Struthio camelus: one gene and its partners. The main gene of each other region encodes a partner of the protein of the gene in region 2 in a complex. Links are inferred from orthologs where the notes say so. Each region holds a gene or a part of one and is shown on either strand. Other genes may lie near its edges.

What was found.
Region 1: the proteins of ITGAV (region 2) and ITGB6 are in contact, whole or in part, in a crystal structure (PDB 9CZA), measured with the Homo sapiens proteins. The link is inferred for Struthio camelus from reciprocal best matches to the Homo sapiens genes ITGAV and ITGB6. Residues at the interface, in NP_002201.2 of Homo sapiens: Tyr48, Phe51, Lys72, Trp123, Leu141, His143, Gln150, Glu151, Arg152, Pro154, Asp178, Ala179, Phe184, Gln186, Phe189, Pro204, Tyr208, Trp209, Asp249, Tyr251, Tyr254, Pro274, Arg275, Arg278, Thr279, Met302, Ala303, Tyr305, Phe308, Pro328; in NP_000879.2 of Homo sapiens: Ser183, Pro184, Phe185, Lys187, Thr188, Thr189, Pro190, Ile236, Asp237, Thr238, Pro239, Asp273, Ser274, His275, Phe276, Gly277, Met278, Asp279, Lys281, Leu282, Ala283, Gly284, Val286, Pro288, Glu308, Thr311, Ile312, Gly313, Gln314, Ile316.
Region 3: the proteins of ITGAV (region 2) and ITGB8 are in contact, whole or in part, in a cryo-EM structure (PDB 8TCF), measured with the Homo sapiens proteins. The link is inferred for Struthio camelus from reciprocal best matches to the Homo sapiens genes ITGAV and ITGB8. Residues at the interface, in NP_002201.2 of Homo sapiens: Tyr48, Phe51, Trp123, Leu141, His143, Gln150, Glu151, Arg152, Pro154, Phe184, Gln186, Phe189, Pro204, Trp209, Asp249, Tyr251, Tyr254, Arg275, Arg278, Thr279, Gln301, Met302, Ala303, Tyr305, Phe308, Pro328, Leu329, Met331, Ser335, Asp336; in NP_002205.1 of Homo sapiens: Ser197, Pro198, Ile202, His203, Pro204, Arg206, Ile250, Asp251, Thr252, Pro253, Thr287, Ser288, His289, Leu290, Ala291, Leu292, Asp293, Lys295, Leu296, Gly298, Val300, Pro302, Glu321, Ser324, Leu325, Gly326, Gln327, Glu330, His349, Trp350.

What each region holds. Positions count from the first base shown.
Region 1 is NC_090947.1:27,361,959-27,369,535, reverse strand, and holds the start of ITGB6 (integrin beta-6), read right to left. Parts: upstream 3,034-7,577; 5' UTR 2,970-3,033; intron 963-2,969; 5' UTR 897-962; intron 1-896. UniProt on the Homo sapiens protein: Integrin alpha-V:beta-6 (ITGAV:ITGB6) is a receptor for fibronectin and cytotactin. It recognizes the sequence R-G-D in its ligands. Internalization of integrin alpha-V/beta-6 via clathrin-mediated endocytosis promotes carcinoma cell invasion.
Region 2 is NC_090947.1:16,213,934-16,221,617, forward strand, and holds the start of ITGAV (integrin alpha-V), read right to left. Parts: upstream 3,076-7,684; 5' UTR 2,966-3,075; coding exon 2,814-2,965; intron 1-2,813.
Region 3 is NC_090943.1:35,762,297-35,769,465, reverse strand, and holds the start of ITGB8 (integrin beta-8), read right to left. Parts: upstream 3,076-7,169; 5' UTR 2,994-3,075; coding exon 2,864-2,993; intron 1-2,863. UniProt on the Homo sapiens protein: Integrin alpha-V:beta-8 (ITGAV:ITGB8) is a receptor for fibronectin. It recognizes the sequence R-G-D in its ligands.

The DNA of each region.
Region 1 (7,577 bases), about 11 Mb from region 2:
TCAACGTTCGGTCCTTCAGCCTTTTTTCCTACAATGCGAGCTGATAAAAAGTTGCTTCAGCCAAGAAATGACTGCATTTCCACAGACATTAAAATGCCTTCTGTTTTATAAATGGAATAAATAATGAAAATGCATGCACATACTGTGTCTCTATTTGCCTCGAATACAATCTTTTTGGCTTGAAATTATGCTATAATAGTGCTGCTGACTTTACATATATAAGGCAGATTTAAAATAGTTTCAGTTTAGAGAAAAATATTTTTGAATGAAATAGGTAAAGTGAAATCTTGAATATACTTTTGAACTTGAGTAATTGTTTATGAGATGTGTCATCAGTTCTCCTGGAGGTAGTTTAGTCACTTTGAGTTAATCATTAACTGAAACTATGTGAAAACCTATTCAAAGCCAGCATACAATGAAGTGTTCTGTTAGGGAAGAAATGCAGACATTGAGTCATAGTTGTCAGTTATTCATTATACTTCAGTCAATTATGATGTGATTCTTTGCAACCTTGTTCTTGCTTTTGATTTCTAGTGTGTTACTGGTCTGGTGGATGAGCTTCCCTAAGTTGGTGCAAGATCCTGCTCACCCTAATCAGGTGAGACACTTGAATGTCTAACCACCATAAGGTAACTACACTATTTTAAAACTATGTGGAAAACAAAAATGAGGGTAAAGAGGTTAGTGAACATAATATTGTTCAAGCTAACAATTACCATGTGAGACAGGAGAAAAAGAAATATTAGAAGTACAGTTCTGCGCATGGATTGCTCAATGGCACAAGAAGCCTCATTGACAAAGTCTAGCAGCCAGTGATATAATTTGTTCCCGAAGAGGGACATGGCATTTATTCATGAAGAATGAAAGCATTAGAAACGTCTACATAGCTTTAGTACCTGAAGAACCGATTCACAACTAGAACAGGTGACCATGCCTGGTTCATAAGAATGATTCAGGAGTAACTGTGGAGAAAAATAACAATGTTATCATAAAATCTGCTTTTTTAGTATGCTACTTCAGCAACGCTATGGGCCTGGACATTGCTCTGGCAATGCGTACTCGTAAACAGGTAAAACACACATTGCTGTGGATAACACCCCCCCAACCCAAATTGGTTAATTTCAAAGCCATTGACACTTTGTATCTGGCAGTACTAAAAAACAGAAGAAGATACCACCATTCATTACTAGCTAATAGAGTCTGCAGGAGAAGGTGTGCAAAGCCTGTATTCTGCTGCCAGCAAAAAGGCTGGATGACATCTGGGTTAACAGTGATTTGGAACAGGTATCTGAATGCCCTTATAAATCAGAGAACAATAGCTGTGCTGGGGAACTTGTGAGGGCACACAACAGGAGAGATCAAGGACAAATTCAGACAGGTTAAACGCTGATCGCTCCAGAGGACCATGCATGTCGTTGTAAGCAAACCCTTCAGGGAACACTAAACACACTAAACACCTCATATACTGGAGGTGTCTCTGTCTGTGTTTACTATAGGCAGAGCCAAGGGCAAAACTGGCTCCAGACTTGGGCCCCTCGGGTGCCTACTGCTACACAGAACAAATCTGGACAAAATATAAGCAACAATATAAGTTAACAATATGGTTTGTTAAATAATTTTTTTAAGCCATCTTTCTCAAATTCAAAGCGAGGTATGCTCTCGCACAGTGCATGAATTTCCCTGCATGTAGGACAAGCACAAATGCCCTTTTCTGCCTGCGCCATATTAGACCAAAGGAGATGAGTGCACGACTTATAAGTCAGTCATGATAATGATTTCAAGCAGAGCTATGTAATAGTCCAGCAGAGGACTGAATATGCTAGTAACGTCTTGTACAAAGTACACATTTATCATGATCTGATGAGGTCATCATTTTTCTTTCTCATTTTGTGAAAGTTCTCAATATTTATGGTTTAAAACAATATACAAAAGCAAATAAACCTTTTTGGTCCTTTATTTGGACTGTGATAGGATTTTTAAAACTGGCAGGCATACAACTACCCAGGATTCACGCACAAAATCAATCACATTACTGAGAAAAACATTCATTTTTACCAAGTATCCTTTACCATCAGTTCGCTCACTCGGAGTAATACAGCCTTTTTACTTGACACACAAATGATATTTATATTCTCATGTGTTACCATCTGATTTATTCCTACCACTTTTATATGACTATAAAGTATATGAATATATAATAATGCGTATTTTCTCCCTTGGTTCTTCAAAAAACATATTTTGTTTTCATTTGCTGTGTTTGTGAGTTGAGCGATGGCAGTTTGATTTAGCTAGTGCTTCTGAAATCACGTATTAACAAATCTGTCAAGACTTGGCTTTTTGCTTACATTCTTCTAAGTTCACAGTCTTCATGGTATATAGGATTTTTGTTTTGTTTGTTTTATGATCCTGATACTTTTTTTCCTTCATTGTCAGAGGGATTTTTGAGGAAGATTGTTTGTTGGAAGAACTTGCTCCTGTATTGCAACTAGAATCAGTACAGGCTTAAGCGTAGATACAGCCTCTCAAGCTTCCTCCTGGAGAGCCTTCCTGGCTTAAGAAATCCCTTAGTGCAGTTCTTGTGGGAGATATCTGTCAGCCTCTTTCTGTTTATAATTTCTATTAATACTCCGAATAACAGCCCAGGCACCACAGAGGCCTTGAGTCAATTCTACAAGGACAGCAGGTAAATATTGCCAGAAAAATAACAGCTCAGTGCTGGGAACAGGGGATTTCCAAATCTGAGCCTGAATGCCTTCAGGGAGGAAAGCCAAGCACAGAGGATGAGGAAGTCAGGAAAAGATCAGAGAGGGAGCAAAGTTTACTGAAGCTGATTTTAAACAGCTGACTAAGTTGTTGGCTTTGATTTTAACATCCATTTCTACTGAATCGAATGAATTGCCTTTAGCACAGCACTGTGGGACTGAAGCGGGCAAGAAACAGCTTCTGGCGATGGTAAGGATCATTCTTACCAGCAGGTTTTCTGTCCTGGAGAGGGACGGTCCATGCACAGTCCTACCCTCTAGACAGCTCTGCTAAGGGAGGAAAAAACCCAGTCTGTGCCAGACCTTAATAAGGCACCTCTGCAGACACAGCCAGGACACGTTACCCTAGTAGTGCTGTTCCTGGGTAGACTGCAGGGTGTCATTTCATGAGCAGCTAGCAGTGAATGAAACCTCATTTTGATCAGGCTTAACCTCCCAGCCGACAAGCCTGGAGACCGTGGAGCACTGCTTACACTGTCACAGCCTTGAGGCTGTCTGGGCACCAGCAGTGGGAAATAGGAACCCTAGGAGAGAAACGTGTGCTCAGCTGTGTTCGCCCGCACCCCTGGCAGACAGATGAGAACCACTGCAAGAGCTCTTCAGAGAGTTCAAGAGTTCAGGCTCTGCAGGACCCCTGAATTCACGGCAGCCGCTCTGGTTGTTACTGGCAGAAAGCACTTAGCAAGCAGATTGGAAAGTAAAGTAGTAATCTGTGTTTTCTTATATATAAAATACCAGATAGCAAGTCAGACAAGTTTTGGATGCCACTGAGACGCTGTCCAGGTCACAGCAGTGACTTAAGAGGCATATTTCTGTCTAAACTTTCAAAATGAAATGTTGTTAATGACAGCACAGGCATCTTACGAGTTTCCCCAAATCCCTTCAATCTTAACAGACAGTGTAAATGTTTTAATTAAAGCTTTCATAGAGAAGCAGATCAGAACTACTACATCAGTTTCCTTTCACGGCATGTTTCAGCAAGCTGATGCAGATTGCTAGGTTGATGAGATATATCAATATTATAAGACACACCATGTGTCAGGCCGAACACATTAAAGGCTGACATTAAACTTTCATATGAATCATTCAAACTTACTCAGCCATCCAGAATTGATATGAAATGAAAAGTCTGACTAACAAGTTTTATTATTTTTTTGATTTTGTAGAAGTAGGAGGATGAGGCGCATGAACAGTGGTTCATATGAGATAGCGACTTTAACTCTGCTCATGTAGGAATTGTGCAGACATTTTGATGATGATGGATAGAAATCTACATTGGCATTTTATTGAAGATATCATCATAGCTTTTTGAGAATTAAAATTTTGACAGTTTGATGGGGGGAAAGTCTGTTAAAAGTCAGGTTAAAAAAATCTACATATATCGAAACCCACTTTTTAAAAGAGCTGCCCCCCAACATCTCCCCAAGAGAAAACAGGTAATGTTCAAACTGAACGTCATTTTACTTATTCCTTTTCCTTTTGATTGTCTATTGGTATTGTCAGTTAAATTTTCTTACAAAGATGTTCAGTTGTAAAATCATTTGGGGTTAGATCTCAACCACACAACTCAGTCACAAAAACACAAGTTTACTGCACTGAGTAGTCCATGCCTTTATTGGCACAAACAGCGACCTACAAATGGTAGTTAGTACTTTCAAGATTTTACATTTCCATACTTTGGACAACATTTCATCATGATTCATCATTCTTCATCTATCTTTATTTCTACTGATTTTATTTCTTTTATAGCTCAGCTCTGTCTAGACCAACATGCAATTCCGTACAAGTACAGCTTAATCATAACTAGACATGCAAGCCTCACTGGGCAAATAGGTGATGCTCTCTAAATACTTCTCATCAGATTAAGTTTCCCTTTCTGTCTCAGTAGGATGGAAACATTTTGTTCTCATAAAAAGCCTTTTTTTCCTCCTTATTATAGGATATTGCATGTTGATGAAGTATCTCATGATGAAGTTCACTGTGGACCATTATTAAAAGTTAGTGCTGCAATACCATTACTCATTGCTGCTTCACTTTCTGCATGTTTTTGGTAAGTCTGTGGCACCTCAGAAGCTGCAACTGTCATCAGGGAACAACACAGAAGCATTCAAAGCGCTCTACAACTCTGCTAGGAGCAAGGCGGCCATCTTTCGCCATCCTGAATAGCAGTAACTCTGCAATGAAAAACAACTGCGGCGTAAGCACTAGAGATGGTGGCATAGCAAGAGAAGTGCTGAGAGCATTGCAACCAGAGATATAAGTAACAGGCCTATTCGTAGAAGTGTTTTTCCCTAGGGGATGGAGTCTTGCGGGTGACTTCATTAACTGCTGACAGCAGGCAGACCGCCCTGTGCTGGGAGTGGAAGGGAAACAGTCATCAGATGGCCCCAGCCACAACCGAGGAAGTGCACAGAAAGATAACAGACAGGTGAGGTGCTTTCCTCACTATTCAGAAGAAGTTAGTCACATCCCCGAATTTAATGCTCTATCCCTTTCCTTTTGATAAAGCAATCTTTTTGTTTTACATGCAGACTCGTGATTTGCACAAAGGGTGCTTTTGTCAATTGAAAGCACTCTTGCAGTCTCCCCAGGTTTCTGAAGGTGGGGTCTGAATTCTCTGTCTGTTGTCCATTGTAAGCAAAATCCCAAAATATCTTGGCATTTGTTACTTTTATTAGTCAGGCGAAGACACTTACCAAACCTTATTATCTGCCATTCAATGCCATGTTATATTAGACCTCTCACAGTATGTGCAATAAAACTCTTGTCACTGTGCAGCCAGCAGGACATATGCTCTCTTTGGTCTCTCTAGCACACTTAGTTACAGAAATGAGGACCCATAGCCCAGATGTCCTATTCCCTTAGAAATAGTGATCCCCAGACTATTCACTAACTTAAAAACATCCATCCCTACTGAACCTGCCTTGAGGCTGCTTGGTGTTTACCTGAAGGTGCTTTCTGCACTTAGAAGATTAATCGCTAATACAGCTAATGTAGCTAACAGCTAAACAGTTGACAGTTCAAACATAAGAGTTTCTCTACACAATCACTTCTCACTTTGCTCCAACATAAATACAGGGGGAAAAAAAATGTCGCCTTACCTCATGTTCCCCACTACACTTGAGCATCCTCCAGCTGTGGAGCAGACCTCCTCAAGCTCACAACAGTCCTTGTGCTGCGGCTCAGCTTTCCGCTGGATCTCAGAGAGTCTCTCTTCTCCGCGTCAGCTGCCTTGCCCTTGCCAGCCCCGCAGCTGAGCCCCCTCTGTAAAGGGACACTGCTGTGTTACTCCTTCTAACTTAGCTTTCCTCTCCAAATGCTCCAGATTCACCTGGTGTCTGTGTTTCAGAGATTAACTCCTTGATTATGGTCTTTCTTTAGTAAGTTTTCTACTCTCCAAATGCTGTCTCCTGTAGAAAGTTTCAAGAAAACTGGTCTAAAATGCCATTTTTCAAAAGTCCTATTCTTCCCAGAGGGAACACTACTAGTCTTTCTTTAATAACCAACCAGGCTATTTATAGGAATGGTGACAGTGTGTCTATCTCCCTAGTACAATGAGCATGAGGCAGTCCACATGAGCCATGACAGAGGCTGTTCATAAAATCAAAACTGCGATTCATACGCTGTATATCAATAGTGATTTAAGCAACCACTTTCTTCCCTCACACCAGATGGAAGAAATAAGAGCCCTACTAGCAAAGGACACATAGCATAATCTCTCTCCCAGACTGGAACAATTAGTCCATTGCTTTAGAGAATCATGTTGAAACTACTTTGATTATTAAAAGTTTTCTATTTATTATAATACTAGGTCATTCTAGGATAACGAGGCAGTGCTTCCCCCTCTACCACACTTGCTTTCTACTCAGGTCACATGCCCTTTTCAGGGGTGTTTTTTTCCCCCCCCCATAAACTGTATTGTAGGTCCATATTAACAGACCTAAATTAGGCCCTTTCATCTAAGCAGAACACGACAGTTTGGGGATGAACAACAAAAGAATCCCAGACAAACCTGAGCCAAAGCCAGAAACGGCAGGGAGGCAGAATTTGCTTAGGCTACTAGCAGGCGAGGAAGGATCAGTATCCACAGGTTGAGAGTTGGAAGACCAACATATAAGGGTCTCATCTAAGGTACTAACTGGGAAATGGAGCACAAAGAGCAGAAGTGTCCCAGTACACCTAGATTATATCATTTCTCTGGGCTGGAGGTGAAGGGCTGGGGAAAGCACTGAAAGGATTGCAAAAGCAAACAAAGAAGGCACGGATGGGCTTAGGGCTCTACCCTGGGATCAGGGAGGGAGGTAGAAGAGGAGTGGAAAGACCTGAGAAGAAGCAAAAGGGGGTTTCCTCAGAGCAGTGCCATGAGCTGCTGCAGCCAGGCAGCACGTGGGCCCAGTGGGGCAGCTGGCCACCTGCCCCTCGCCCCAGCCAGAGACCCCCCCGCTTCCCCTCTACCATGAAGGGCAACAAAACAACTACCCCATCTCTACCAGACCTGGGCAGGAAGGTAACAGCCACTTCAGCTACCCCCACCCTTCCCCATTTCCCACCAACAGCTGCCCCTGCCCAGAGGGGCCTTTTTGGCCATGGGTGCACAGGTGGGGAGGCAACGAGGCCCCGCGTTAACTCCTTCCTCGCTGCCAGCACGTGGGGCGCATTACCACAGTAAAAACGCAGAATATTGGTCTTCTTCCCTCCCTGTCGTTGAAGAAACGAAAGCCCCCGGAAGACCCTGTTCACCTGGCACTCGCGCATCGCTCTCTGGGGGCGGGATGGTGGCACCGTGCGGGTCCCCCAGCCCCCCGCGTGGTGGCC
Region 2 (7,684 bases):
AAACCCATATTTTGAATTTACAAAATTTTCTGGACCCGGATAGAACATTTAGGCTACTTGGAAATAATTTGTTCCTCTAAGCTGCTACTCATAAACCATCTAGATTCTAAGAACAAGAATTTGAAATGTGGTTATCAACTTAGTTAAAACGTTCTCTCTAGTCATAAGAGAAATACAAATATATGTGTATATATATATATATACACACACACACACATATATATATAATGCCAAAGAAAGAAACATATTAATTGCTGTAATTAAAACCTGTCAGACAGGTGGTGACTTGCCTCCCAGTTTACTCTTGATTACTGAATATTTATATGTTTGAATATTAGTTTAAAAAATTCATTTCCATTCTAATCATATACTTTAAATCTTTAAGATAATCTTTGTGAAGGTTAAGACAAAAGGAATCATTATGATTTATGAATCCAAAGATTCAGTCACCTCTTTTCCCAAGGGGTGAGAAAGGGGAGGGGGGGGGAGGGAAGACATGAGTGGATTTTGCCATTGGGCTTATAAAGCGCCAGTAATATTAGAAAGAACGCTTGCTATGTACAAATAAGTCCCTAGTCTGGGTACTTTGGGGAAGGGGAACATAGTCGTCATTCCTATGGGAATACAAAGACTACGTTTTGGTACAACAACCTGCCCAACATGCTGCACACAAGACTGGGAGTATATTCACATCCTCAGCAGTTTTAGTTATATGAGTGTACTTATTTATAGGAATAATCGTTCACCAGTGCTTCGCCGTGTGCCAGTGAAGAAGATCATGTATTTTCATATCCTTGTATGCTAGAAAGACAGATTATCAAATGCAATTCTTCTAGAGTACAGCACATACGAAAGATATTTTTTAGTTTTTATAAAGTCAAGTTCAATCATGTCGTTTCATAGCTATGTCGTCTGCCAGGCACTATATAGTATCCTGATACAATACTACCATTTTGACTCCCAGAAAAGTTCTTTCGTATTGGACTTCTAAACATACTTTATTTTGGTATCCAGTAGGTCAAAACAGATTATAAAACAGAAGCATGAGCTTTCAGGTACTACTAATACTCATTTGTTGTAAGCCTAATCAATGCAGACTGCTTTAGCCAGACCAAACTTATTTACTTTCTGCTGTTCTTTAACTGTTTCATGTAAAGAACAGGTGATAAATCACAATTCTTCAAAGCAACAGCAAAGGTGTGGGAATCAAGTAACCCACATCACAAGTTTGACAGAAATCGTGTAACAAGACTGATTTTAATAAATGTCTTTCGCTAATCATGCTGCAAAACAGTTCACTCAAGTTCTCTACAAAACATTCAACTGTAGACATCTCTCTAACTTGCTGTCCATCACTACCTGTCTCTGCCCTTCAATAGCTTAGGAGAGATTCAAGTATTCCAGTCTGCATTTCGTACTTGCTGCCTCTCTTATAAGTCAGGAAGAGCCATGGGCCTGTGTCTGCAGGATGCTTCATACAATTATTTATTTATTTCCGTAAGCAAAAAAAAAAAAAAAAAAAAATCGGTCTCCATATGTTGAAACTTAACGTTTACCACCATTAGAGCCTGCTCCTGTAAAAGCTGCATAGCTGCTTTGTTTTAATCGTGTGGATAAATATAAGATAAACTATGGTACTACAATTTAGTTTAGGAGATACAGATTAACTTTTATTCAGATCTAAAATTAAAAAGAGAAAACATCCTTGAAAATATCAGTGTGTGTCTCAGGCAATCTGAAACACTCTAGTGTTCAGAGTTGCAAAAAGTCCTATTTTTTTTGCAGCCATGCGCTTTGAGGTCAATAGCTATTAATAACATAGGGGAAAGATTCCAATCAGTGACGTCAGCGACAGCTGGGTGACATAACTCCTTATTAGAAACCAAGGAAGAGGGTTTACTATGTGCGTTTACCAGTCTCTTAGGAACTCTGCAGCCACACATGCTGAATTAAAAATAAAGCAAGAAACAAAAATAATTTGTTTGTAAACAACAGGATTTACAGGATTAAGACAGCAGAGAAAGATGTTGCAACACACACAAGCCAAGGCAGGATGATCTCTAACGTTGTAGGCAACAAAGAAACGCAACCAAGGCTGGATGATGTACTGCAAGGAGTCTTGCTCAACAGCTACAGAATTTGCTTTAAAAGTCTACAAGATTTAAAAAAAAACAAAATAAAAGGCAGAAGCAAGATGGAAAATCCTCTCAGCCTGACGAAACCCAGTAGGCTTTTCCAGCTGTAAAGTGCTTCCTTAAGATGGGGCAGGAGGAAAAAGGTGGCAAAACCTAGCCCTGAAAGCAGCCCGCATCCAGGCACCAGAGGAGCCCCTCACAGCAAGAGGCAGACCTCACAGTTCAGCGACCCGACCGCGGGACAGCGCGGGCGCACCCGCCGCTGCAGCTTTCGCTTCGGAGCGCCGCTTAACCCGACGCTACAACATGTTCAGGAAGCACATGGCGGGGGGGGGGGAAGAGATATTTTTAGGGAACTTCCCCTCCGGCCGAGGCCTGGGCGGGCTGCCCGGACCCGGCGCGGCCGAGGCAGCCCCGGTGCGAGGCGCAGCGCGGGAGCGGGACAGCAGGTCTGCCCGGGGCCCTCACGGGACGCCCCCGGCCGCGCCGCGCCGCTCCGCACCGCTCCGCGGATTTCCCGTACGGCGCTCGTCGCCGCTTCGCGCACGGACCCCGGGCGCCGGCTCCCGCCGCCCCCCGCCGCCTGGGCCGGGCCGGGCCGGGCCCCGCGCTCCCCCCGCGGGCGGCCTGGGGCCGGGGAGCCGCCGCCGCGGCGCCCCTCGCGGGCGGCGCACTTACGAGGAGGGGTCCGGGGCGAAGAAGTCCACGGCGAAGCCGAAGTAGCTGCCCTCGGGGCCCGAGTACACGGCGGGATGATCCGCGTCCAGGTTGAAGGCGCTGCCCGGCGCCAGCCAGCGGCCCAGCAGCACGAGCAGGTACAGCCGCGCCATGGCCCGGCCCGGCCCGGCGCAACGGAGGGGAGGGCAGGGCAGGGGAGGGCGACAGCCGGACCCGCGCCCGTCGGCCCAGCTCGCTGCGCCCGGCGGAGGCGGGGCCCAGCGGCGGCGTCACGGCCGGCCCCGCCCGCGGGTGCCGCGCCGCTGCCGGGCAGCGGGGGGAGGCGCTTTGGGGGGGAAAGGAGGAAAAAAGAAAAGAAAAAACTTGAAAAAATCTTGAAAAAGCACTCGGCCTGTAACGGCTTGTTTCCCTAAGCCACGTAAGTTTTGGAGCTTAGTTTCTGCTGGATCTTGGGCCTTAAAGAGGTCAAGCGCTATTGAGGCGCCTTTGAAATGTTTTGGGGAAGGAGGAGGTAAAATCGCCGGCCCCGGCCCGCAGCGCCCGCGCCCGGCACGAAGCGCGGCCCGGGGCCCCAGCCCGCTCGGTGGCCTGGAAAAGCGAGAATAATTAATCCAGAAAACACAGAACGGCTGGTATGCGATTAGCTCCACGCCATTCCCACCGAAAGGCTACGATTTCAGTTTCGCTGTTTTCACGAGAACGTGATAAAAAGTAAAGAAACTACTGACAAACGGAGACAATGTTTGAAACCCTAAATACAAGTTAGAAGGATCCAATACATATTCATTAAGGGTCGGGGAACCTTGAAAGAACGTCACTGATAAAGTAAGCATGGGAAAAAACGCAAAGCTATACAAGAAAAAGCCTTAGAAAACACACCTATTTTCCAAGCTGTTCAGAAGACTAGCGCTAGCCAACAACTCTCCTAGCAATTTCCCTTCTTATGAAACCAATCATCCTACAAACAAACCACTGCCCTTCATGTGAAAAAACCTGAATCTGTAATTAATGATTTTAAAACTGGCCTCCAATTGCAGATGCGATCATGGCTAGAATCCCAACTTGACACTGGCAGCTGGTGAGGGCTGATGGCTTGGTGTGCTAAGTTACCTCATGGAGAGATTGGGCAGAGACCTTTTTACAGAGATGGTGAATTCTCGTGTAACAATAGCTGGAGCAAGAAGCTAGAAAATCCTGAAGGCACGGTCTGGTTCATTAAAGAGTGGAACTACTCAAAGGTAAGTGCATTTTTATACTCACAGTGTCTGTTAGTCTCCAGTTCAAGGTACAGCATCTTTCTACAATAGGGGTGTGCCTCCCCCAAAAGTTTTGAACTTGATGTAGGGAGCACTGGGGAACTTTTGGATTCATATTCTACAAAGAGATCACACTATCACAGGAGTTTGACATCTGTTAAATTGACTGTAAGTTGACTTGTGCATGCTCAGCAGCTCTAAAAATCACGTGCATCAGGCAAAGCTAACAAGATTTGGAGCAACCAAAATTGGAAGGTACTTTTTGAAAATGTTAGTTTTCAATGAAAATAAAAAAAAAAAAATCAAGACTACCAGTAGGCAACTTACTACACTAAGCGTAATGTTTATAAAGAACTGCTAATGAATCCACTGAACAAGAGAGACATGATTTCATAAAGTATTCCTGATTTTTTTTTAAAATATAATGGACTTAATTCAATGCAATTAAAGTAATACATTAAAACATTGAAAAAAGTCCATTTAGCATTGCCTTTCTTCTTTTCATTTTAGTGAGTTATTCCTCACAGGAGACCTAAAGACTTTTCACAAAAGAGGGAAGTGTGCTTTCTTCATCAACAACTACTTCATGAATCACGTTTCAGGATTAGTATATTTCCTCCTTTCCTTATTTAGTAAGGTCCAACCAGCCTACATTCACTAATACCATGATATTTAGGCATATGAGTTTAAAAAAAAAAAAAAAAAGACAAGAAAAAAGCAATACTTAAAAGGATCCCCATGGATCCTCGCTGAACATTGATATTGGGTGATCATTTTATTTTTCACTAAATTAATAAAGTTTCTTTAAAACAAAAACTTCAGTAGCATTGTACCTTAATAAAGTCAGATTTTATGTTAATATACAACCTAAATTAAATAATCTTGAAGCCAACAGAAAATATGATAGACTAAGAGAAGGTGGCTCAGTAATGGCAACCTTTAAAAGTTTTCAAACTGGATGCAAAACATGTAAGAATTCTTGCTACATAAAGTAGCAATATTGTACACTATAGATTCTTGGCAAGTCTACTATTACTTACCTATTGTTGAAATACTAAAAAAAAAAATTAAGTACACCTGGAAAAATTACCAATATTTGGGGGCGGGGGAAATATTGGTAATACTGCATAGAAAGTGGGAGAGGATTTCAAAATACATGGTTTTCATTTAAAGTGGGTTGTGATTTTTTATTAGAGTTTAAATTTAATTTTAAATAATTTAAATAATTTAAAACTGCTTTATGTCTGGACTGTTTCCTCCCAGCTAGACTCTACGTGTGTAACTGATAAGCTATGTTAAAGTGTTCACTGACTTGCATAACCCTGCTGTACTGTTTGTTACTCCAATGTAAAAACAGTAAATAATACATATTTTTCCATCAAAATACTTATTTTTTAATATAGCTTTTTCATCAATGTCGTGTCTTACAAGGAAGAAAAAGAACCCAAACATTTCCATTTATTCATCTCACAGCTCTCCTGTCTGCAGTTAAGTATTAACGTAATACCACAGCTTGATAAACAGCAGTTTGTGTTGCAGTCACTTGTTCTTACTCCCAGGCAGTAGTAATTATTTAAGGCAGCCATCTCAAGAAAATGTATTATTCTATTAAAGTTAGGAGGAGAGTTCCTATACTGCCTTGAGATTTGTTGCTAGTTTTCCTAACTTTATGTTGCATCTTGATAGGTAAAAATCATTAATAAGTTCAACTTTTATTGTTATTTACTGACTACTTCTATTCTCTCAGCTGCTATACTACTACTTTATCCAACTTGATCAAAGCACTTGAGATGGGTTAAGAAGTTCCCAAATGCTAGCAAATGCACACTAATAAATAAAGAATGGAGTATTTCATGTGTACTTTAATCAGTGAGTCAGTAGTTAAAGAAAATAAATCTTCCTTTTCCTCACTTGGTCATATCATTTCACAGCGTTATCTGAGAAGTAAAGGATACGTGTATTTTTAAGGCACGAGCCATTTTAACAAGCAATAAATTTTAGAAATGAAGTAAGGACTGGCTGTGCAGTGCCACCTCTTATTGTCAGTAAAGCAAATCACTAAAGGACAGGCTAGAGCAATAATTCAGACATTACATAGAATCAGAAGTCGTCATCCCTAGGGGTAGAATAACTATCTTCAAACCATTTCCTCTCTTTAAGAAGACACGTTCTTTTTCAAAAGCTATTTCATGCATACCTCCTTTCTACTTCCATTGGAGTTTAGAAAGGTAATAAAGCCTGTTACTTTCCTGACTCAGCAATGAGTGTCCTGCTCCTCTCCCTCCAAGTTTAGTCCCCAATTGGAAACGGAAGCTGTGGAGTCATTGCTGTCTAGGCTTAATTCACAGCACAAGAGTCAAATCAGTCTAGACAGTTTGAGAGTGTAGCCCTATCTCCCTATATGGTATTACTACCCCATCCTCAACATGGGAAAAAGTGAGATCTGGATGCTTGGGATTATACTTACAATGAGTTTAGAAAATTGTTTTCTGTTGCAGAAAAAAACCTGATGATTTTATTGCTTGCACTGTTGTTATGCCTGACACAATCCAAAACCAAAGGAATGAAAACCTAAAACAGACTCAGAAGAGTTTCAAGCAAGAAATACTCTACCAGTGGAGATGTGATTTTTCTTTGCTAGCTTGTTTAATTCTCAGCATGGCTAAAAAAAAAAAATAAACAATAGCTACTAAGATCATGTTGCAGACTGTAAGCAAACAAATTATATGCTTCTATATTTACTTAGCTGTTATCTCCACTGTTAGATTTATAGCTACTGACTAAGGTATTCAGGAATGAAAACTAACCACCAAGAAGTGGGCAGAAGACCTCAAATTTTTTTTTTCTTTAAACAAGATATTGATTTTATGTGTAACTGAATAACATTATTTTGGAATTATTTGGACTCTTAAGAACTGCCTTTCATTATTCAACAGATAAAACTCATTTCCTATTAGAAGTTGCTAATCTTGCCAGTTTTTCCTCATGCAAGTAGTCATTAACACAGGTGACTAAAACTGCAAGATGCAAGATATGAGCTGCGTTTTTGGATGAAATGTACTTCTTTATTTATTTAGCTATTCCCAAGTCCGCAGCCTGTAACATAGACAATTGTAGAATATTTCTGCTTTGTGACTTTCTCTCTCCTACTTACAACGTTATACTCGGCAAGAAACGGACAAAGTCCTGTGACTAAATAGAGGATATGAACGCGTAAGGCACAATGCTCCTCCTTAAAGGCTCTGTAAGATGTTCTTTTGTGTACATCTTTCATGTATATGTGTGATAAGCTTCAGCCTCTTAATGGATCCAGTGCTTTACTGTATCAGTAGCATCAATGTGTGGAAAAAAGAGAGGATTACTACTGATTTGTTACTAGATACTACTATCAGTCTCCCAGAAAAGCCTTCACTGATGAGAGTTTTAGTACATATTTTGCTCTTGTGCCATCCAGACACTTGGACTTGTGAAGTAGCTTACTGCCTTGAACAGATCTTTAAGGAATAAGTTGGTATCTAACATGGCAGTAGAAAGCAAGCTTAACTTAGCCAAAAATAGACATTATCTATCATTTTGCTTTGGTCAGTTGTGCTTTTTATTTCTATTATGTCTAAT
Region 3 (7,169 bases), on a different chromosome or scaffold from region 2:
CTCTAGATGGCCCTGCGTGAGCAGGGAGGTTGGACTAGATGACCTCCAGAGGTCCCTTCCAACCTCACCCATTCTGTGATTCTGTGAAAGCACCAAACACCTTATTATTCAAATTTTAATATACACAAAAACATTTTTGAGGCATTGCTCAGATTTGTACCTGTGTTTTATTTTAATCTTGACCAGTTAATTATTCCATAGTATTTTAGTCTTAGATATTTCACATGCTTACATAGCAGATAAAAACTAAAGAATTTTATCTGTTTAGTTTCTGAACAAGCCAAGTGAACTGACTTTCTCCACCGAAGTCAATAGTTACACAACGGATCAACAGAATACATATACATGGTCTCACTGCAAAATTCAGCTTCTATTCACCTCATCAGTTTACTTATTTAGTTGTTCACTTTTTAGTATTCCATAATAAATCTGGGATCTGCCTAAATCACTATGAGGCAAATTTAATTTTGAAGTAGTTCCATTCTTATGTCAGGTATTTGTTTTAGTTGGCTTAGTAAGCTGCAAATTTCCTATGGTAAGACTGAACAAGGGAGCCTTTGTAGAAGGCTGCAATACTAACCTTTTATCTGAGCTTACAGAACATTTAATTTGGGACTTGCAACTTTACAGTGTTATGAGGTTTCCTTTTGTACTCCTCTCAACTTGAAACTCATATCTCAAACTGCAGTCTGCAATGCAAATAACTCAGGCAGGTAGAATCAAACAATGCATTTTTCAAAAAGAAGAGCAATAAATGCCCCAGCAAGAATGCCTGAATGTCCCATGTAACTTCATATTTATTCACATTTATTTTTTCCTTAAAGAGATTCATTGCAGCAGATACACATGTACTGCCAGCTCTGCAGATAAATTAACTGAACTTGCTGATGGCACATGGAAGAAGCATGATGCTCTGCCATGCCCAACACTGAAGTATGTCAAGGCAGAAAAAAGTGTTGAAACAAGGCTGCGTACCAAATAGCTATACAAGGAGCTGCTGCCTGGAGCCTCTGTAAGAGCAACCTTCAAAGAATTCAGGTGTGCTGCACTGGCTCATAGAGCTAATGCAAACAGCACCCCCCCCCCCAAAAAAAACCAAAACAACCAAAAGCCCAGACAAACAAACAAAAAAACTCCCTCCAAAACATTATTCATGTGTTCATTCAAGGAAACAAAGCAAAACAATCTTCTTGCTTCAAGTATGGCTCTAGCCCGTAAAGTGATTATGTATGAAGGAAAGAATTCAGTGTGACTTTCAGCTTTCATGAATTAGAAGAGGTTTCAAATAAAGAGGAGAAAAACAAGGTCTCTTTGAGTTACAAACTGTCTGCTGACACAGGAGCTGCTGGAACCCACGGCACATCATTCATGCTTATCTTCACTATCAAGCACAGCAAAGGGAGAAAGCACCTTTCTGGAGCAAAAGCACTGTGAATGATCCTCACCTATGTTACTCTGTTCTCACAGGACAGAATACTATTTGTACTGTGAACGAGAACCGCATTTGTTGTACTATGTACTACCCAGGAGCTACAGTTACGAGCAAGGACACATTGCACTGAGGCACAAAATTGCCTTCTCCATAAGTTTCCATTAGCCTTCAAACAAAATTACATTGCATAGAAAATAATCTGGAATACTAAATACTAGATGTCCTGTTTCGTAAGAAATTTAATAATAGTACATTTTATTTTTCCTATTGACATTTACTTTGGTTTTGAACTCAAAATATGAAGCCAAAAAAGCAAAATAAATTATGTTACAAAAGCTGACAAATCATTCTGTTGTTACTTAACAGCATTGGGCAAATCTGGCTGAATTAGACACAAACCTGTCACATATGCATTAAGGAACTTACGACTAATACATTGTTCCCATTATAAATCTTAGAGGTTACAACTTAACATTTTAAAATAACTCCAGGCTTAAACTTGGAATATGTATTTACTCCACACAGGAGAAAAAAAAAAAGAAAAAAGAAAAAAAAAGAAAAAAGGGGGAAAGGTGATTAACAACTTGATCTGCATTTCTGATCACCACTAGTTAATAAGACTGTTTATGAAATACTTGAGTAGTACGACAATGGATCAACAGATGTGGCTGACACACTGTTGCAGGATCTGAGGTACATTTGCAAGAACTCCTCTCAGAGTGCGTGCATGAAAATCCACACTGAGGGCAAGGATAGTTTAAGAAGTTCTTTCACAGTTTGAGCTTTTATCTGCTATAACCTCAGGGCTTGTCACCGCCAGTACAACATCTACCAGGGAACTGTCAACACACGTTATCCCATTTTGAGAGGGTAAAGGGAAAGAGCAAACAATCTTCCCCTAATTCTCCCCGTTCTAAACCTCAGCACTAAGCACCGTGTAAGTGATGTAAAAATGAGTGTTTTCATCCCTAAGAACTGCCCATCCGCAGCTGGTGACCGCCGGGGGTCTGCGTGCCGCAGCTAGGAGGTTTGCAGAGGGCAGCGGGGTAAGGCAGGGGTCCCCAGCGCCCGCAGAGCTCCCTCTCCTCGCGGGAAGCCCCTTAAGGCTCCAAAAAAAGTTGAACACCCTTGGGTTAAATCGCTTGCACCAGCCGCACGAAAGCAGCCAGAAGTCACGGCTACGCTCTCCGGGGCGCAGGCGGACTCCGAGCGAGCCCTGCCTTTTGCGGCGGCCGCTTCCGCGGCAGGTAGCGCTCCGGGCGCACCTGGCCCGGCCCCGCAGCCGACGGGGCCGCTGCGCCGGCGCCTCCGGCCGCTGTCAGCGGCGCCAGGGGAGCTCCGAGCCCGCTGCCCGCCCCGCGGCAGCCGCCCGCACCCCGCCCGCACCCCGCGGGAGGCGGCGCGCAGCCCCGGGCGCACACGGCAACTTACGGCGCTGGCAGAGTCCCGGCGCGGCCGCCAGCAGCCGGGCCGCCCCGAGGAGGGGGCCGGGGCCGCGCTGGCACTTCTGCACGGAGACGATCCCCGCGGCGAGACACGCCAGCAGCGGCACCCACATCATGCGGCGCGGGCGGCACCTCTCCGGCTCCCGCTCCCGCTCCCTCGCCCTCTCGTCGTGGCCGCGTCTCGGCGGCGCGGCGCGCTCAGTCCCGTCCCCCGCGGGGGCGGCGGCGGCGGCGGGGCCGGGGGAGGGGCGGCGGCGGCGGCGGGCCCGGCACAGGTAGGGCGCGGGGCGGCAGCGGCGGCGGCAGGGCGGGCGCGGGGCGCCGCATCTCAGGGGCAGCGCCCGCCGCCCCCCCGCGCTCCGCAAGGGGCGGCCCGCCGGCGGCGGCGGCGGTGGCGGCGGCGGCGGGGCCCCGGCCGAGCGCGGCGAGCGGCTCCCTCCATCCGCCTCCAGCCCGGCACACAACGGGCTTTTGTCCGCCCCCCTGCCCGGCCGCGGGGAGGCTCTTGGCACCGCGCGGGGAGAAGCGGCAGGAGCGCGGCCGCCCTCCCCGCACCTCCCTACCGAAAACAACCGCCGCTCGGCCGCTGTCCCCGCCCTCCCCGCGCTGCCACCCCGCCGCCGCCGCCGCCGCGCAGCCCCGCCGGGGCCCCGCGCCGCCCCGCCAGGTGGGCGCTGCCAGGGCCGGGGCGGCGCCCGCTGCCCGTCGTCGCGCCCCGAGCCGCGGCCGGGCCCCCTTCTCGCCGCCGCGGGCCGGGGGAGGCTCCCGTGCGCAGCCGGCCGCGCTGAGCCGGCGCTCCCGCCCGAGCCGCCCGCCGGGCCCCGCCGCCGCCGCCGGTGCGCCCCGGGCCGCGGGTCCCCCCGTTGCTAGGAGACGGCAGCGGGGCAGGTTCCACGCCGGGGCCCGGCCGCCGGGGGGGGGGGTAAGGGGGGAAGGGAGGCGGGGCCGGGCCCGGCGATGAAGTCACTGCGTCCGCCCGAGCCTCTTTGTTCGGCAGCCGCCGGCCCGCGCCGCGGCCAACGGTCTCCGCGGGGTGGGGGTGGGGGGGGCGAGGGCGGCGGCGCGGCGCGGCTCCCCCCCGCCGCCCCGCCGCCGCCTCGCCCCGTGTGGTGGCGTGGGGCGGCCTGTCAGCGGTCTCCGCCTTGCCGGCGCCCGCCGCCCTCCCTGCGTGTGAGGCCTGCGCGGGGCGTTTGTGGGGGCCTCTCGCCCTTGCTGCCCCCGCGCTCTCCCCTGCCTCAGACCTGTCCGCTCCCCTGCCCGGCCCCCGCCGGTAGATCTTCCCCTGGCGCACCCCCCCCCCCCCCGGCGCCGGTTGTCCGCTTTCACCACCAGCTACTTAAAACAACAACAACAACAACAACGGAATAACTTGCTGCCCTTCCCACCTTTTATCGCTCCTCTCACCCTCCCCGAGTAATTTCTGCTCGGAGTTTCCGCCCCTTCGGGCAAAGTGAGAGTAACTCAAAGGTTAATCGTGCCCAGGGCTGAGTGGAAAGTACCTCGCCTTGAAGTGCACGGTGGAGAGGGGGGAAACTCCCTGCCGGTCCCTAGGTGCGTTCTTCCGCGCTGCCCTGAGTCGCAGCCCGGCGCAAGGAGGCCCAGGGCTGCTGGTCCCTGCTCTTTACATTCCTGCTACTTCATTGTTTTCCCCTTCGGGGCTCAGCTCCCGGCGCGGTGGGCACCGTTTGCTGGAGAAGGCGCAGTGTGACATTTTCGAGGCAGGTGACGCACACCTGTGAAAGGTGATCTGTCAAACTGCCATCCCTCCGCTTCGCTCTGGCGGGGTCACAAGCCCCCCGGACGGGGCCGCGGGTGCAGGTACGCCAGGCCGAGCGCCCCCGGGCCTGCGGGTCGAGCACGGTGCTGGTGACAGTGGCCCAGGACCATCACTTCCGTTTTGGTGGGACTGAACAGATGCTGGTGCTCGCCGTATCCCAAAACAGTATCTCCACACGGCATCGCAGTCTGGCTCTGAGGTGTACATCATTAATAAAACATTCAAACGCAGCCAGCATAAATACCGTGCTGTTTCACAAGTCTTGGGGAATGTAAGGTTGTCAGAGCATTTCCAAATCATGTGCTGAAGCCTCACTGTACTAAGTAAAGGGTGGTTTGTTATCTTCGTGTTACAGGGCTGAAACTGAAGGTACATTGGGTTTGTTGAAGGTCGTTGAGGAAGAGATAGCAATGGAACAGTTCTGTACTCCTACTCTTGGAGTTTTTGAACACCACATAATTCTTCTGCTTTGTCTTGGAAAAATCCCCCCATTTAGGACATTTGTCTTGAGTGTCATTCCTCAAGCTGCCAGTGTCTAAATGGGGATACCATATGTGACAAAGCCATATATAATGATGCTAACATAAAAGGGTAGCATCTGTATGACTTCAAATACTATGCCATTCTTCTCCAAAGAACGCCATGATTTCAGAGATCACAATTTAAACTATGTCAGTGGTAAGCTACCATGCCTGTAGGGATACCATGGGAATTAAAATGAATGATATTCTTTGAAATGAGACACATTTGTGGCAGGTGAGATAAACTCAATTCACTCTGATTTAACAGTGTAATGTATAAATCCTGTGTCATGACATTGCAAATTCATGGCAGTTCAAGCATATGTGGAAAAATGGGATCACTATGAGACATAAATAAATTCAAGGAAATATCTTTAAAAAAAAACAGCAGAAGCAAAAGCTGCAGAAAACGAGATTTCTCTACTTTGGAATTTTTGCTTACCTCTTTATCAGATCAGAATTGAAATTATCATAAGCAACATAGCGAAAATATCTCTGTCCTCCACAGCATGAATTATCTTGTGAATTTCTAAGCAGAGGCTATTCACTACAGAAATAGGAAATGCACATACTGTTCCTTATGAGAATGGTGTCCAAGAATTTGGCGTTCTGAACAGACTACAGATACCTATATTCTAAAATGGAAGAGAAAAAAGAATAATTTTCATATAAAATCTGAGACAGATGTAAACCAAATTAACATACTGTAGTCATTAATTTAAATGCCGAGAACATAAAAAAATGGGTAAGTCCTGCATACTAAATGTCACCAGCATCAGGAGTAAAAAAGAAGCCAGGAGCTGAAGGTGCCAATAGCTGCAGCCTGTACCAGTTAAGGCCGCTTCAACTGTTCAAACTCCAACTGTTTGTTGGTATAAAATGCAGCTCCTGCCTACTTCTTTAGCTTCTTTCTTCCTGTGGTGGAAACCAAAGATATAAAAGTATTTATTTATCCTGCAGTGATGGCATCTTTAAATAAATTGCTGGTTAGATAGCGTTAGTAAAGCAATAGTATAAATTCTTTGAAATATAGAGTATATTATTGCTTTACAAATTGATTAATTATTCTAATTTTACAAATGGAGAAACTGAATCATCTAAGGTCACACTTACAACAAGGAATTTAAGACCACTGCACTGGGCCATGAATGCATGAAGTAATGCAATTGTGGAATCGCCATCTTTGAGTTATTCTAAACTCAGTCGGACAAATCCCTGAGCAAGGTGATCTAACTGGATCTGTTTTGAGCAAAGGTCTTTAGAGGTTTATTTCAACAGAAGTTGTTCTATGAATTTGTGTAGTTAAAAGTGAGTAATGCTTTGCTCTTATTCTTCATGTATACTTAATTACTTAAAGTGTTATATATCATTGTGCTTTCTTTCCAGTCAGTATTTACATTTGCTTTACTACAAACGAAATAAAATTAACAATGTATCAAAGCATTGGAGAATAGCCTCTCTTTTCTGGAACTAGTTCTGAAAATTTTGCATCTACAGTGAATATGCATTAGAGGTGGTCAAAAAACCCGAAACATTTTTTACAAAACCATGTTCCTTTTTTGGCTGAGTAATTCCAGCGATCTTTGATGTGCCATTTCCTGGGGGAGAATCCAAACCAACATTGCAAAGGGAAGAGTGATGGTGTTTTACAACTTCTAATATCAAAACTTTTTTTTTTAAATGAAAATTGTATTATGTGTTCATTAGTATGTCATGTGATTTCTTACATTATCGTGGCATGTTATGCACTATTAAAATCACCATAGACACCATTTTGGTATACTTAAATTAATTGCACTTTCCTCCAACTTTTTCACATTTCTATGAAACCTCACTTTGAACTACTATTTTTCATTTAATAATGCACAATCTTTTTGGAATATGGTAATTGTTTTGGATTTGGGAGGTTCACTTGATTCCACTGACATTAACGTACAAATTCTGCTTTCTTTGCTATATAACTGAATAAAAGGATCTCCTGACTCTGTCACACA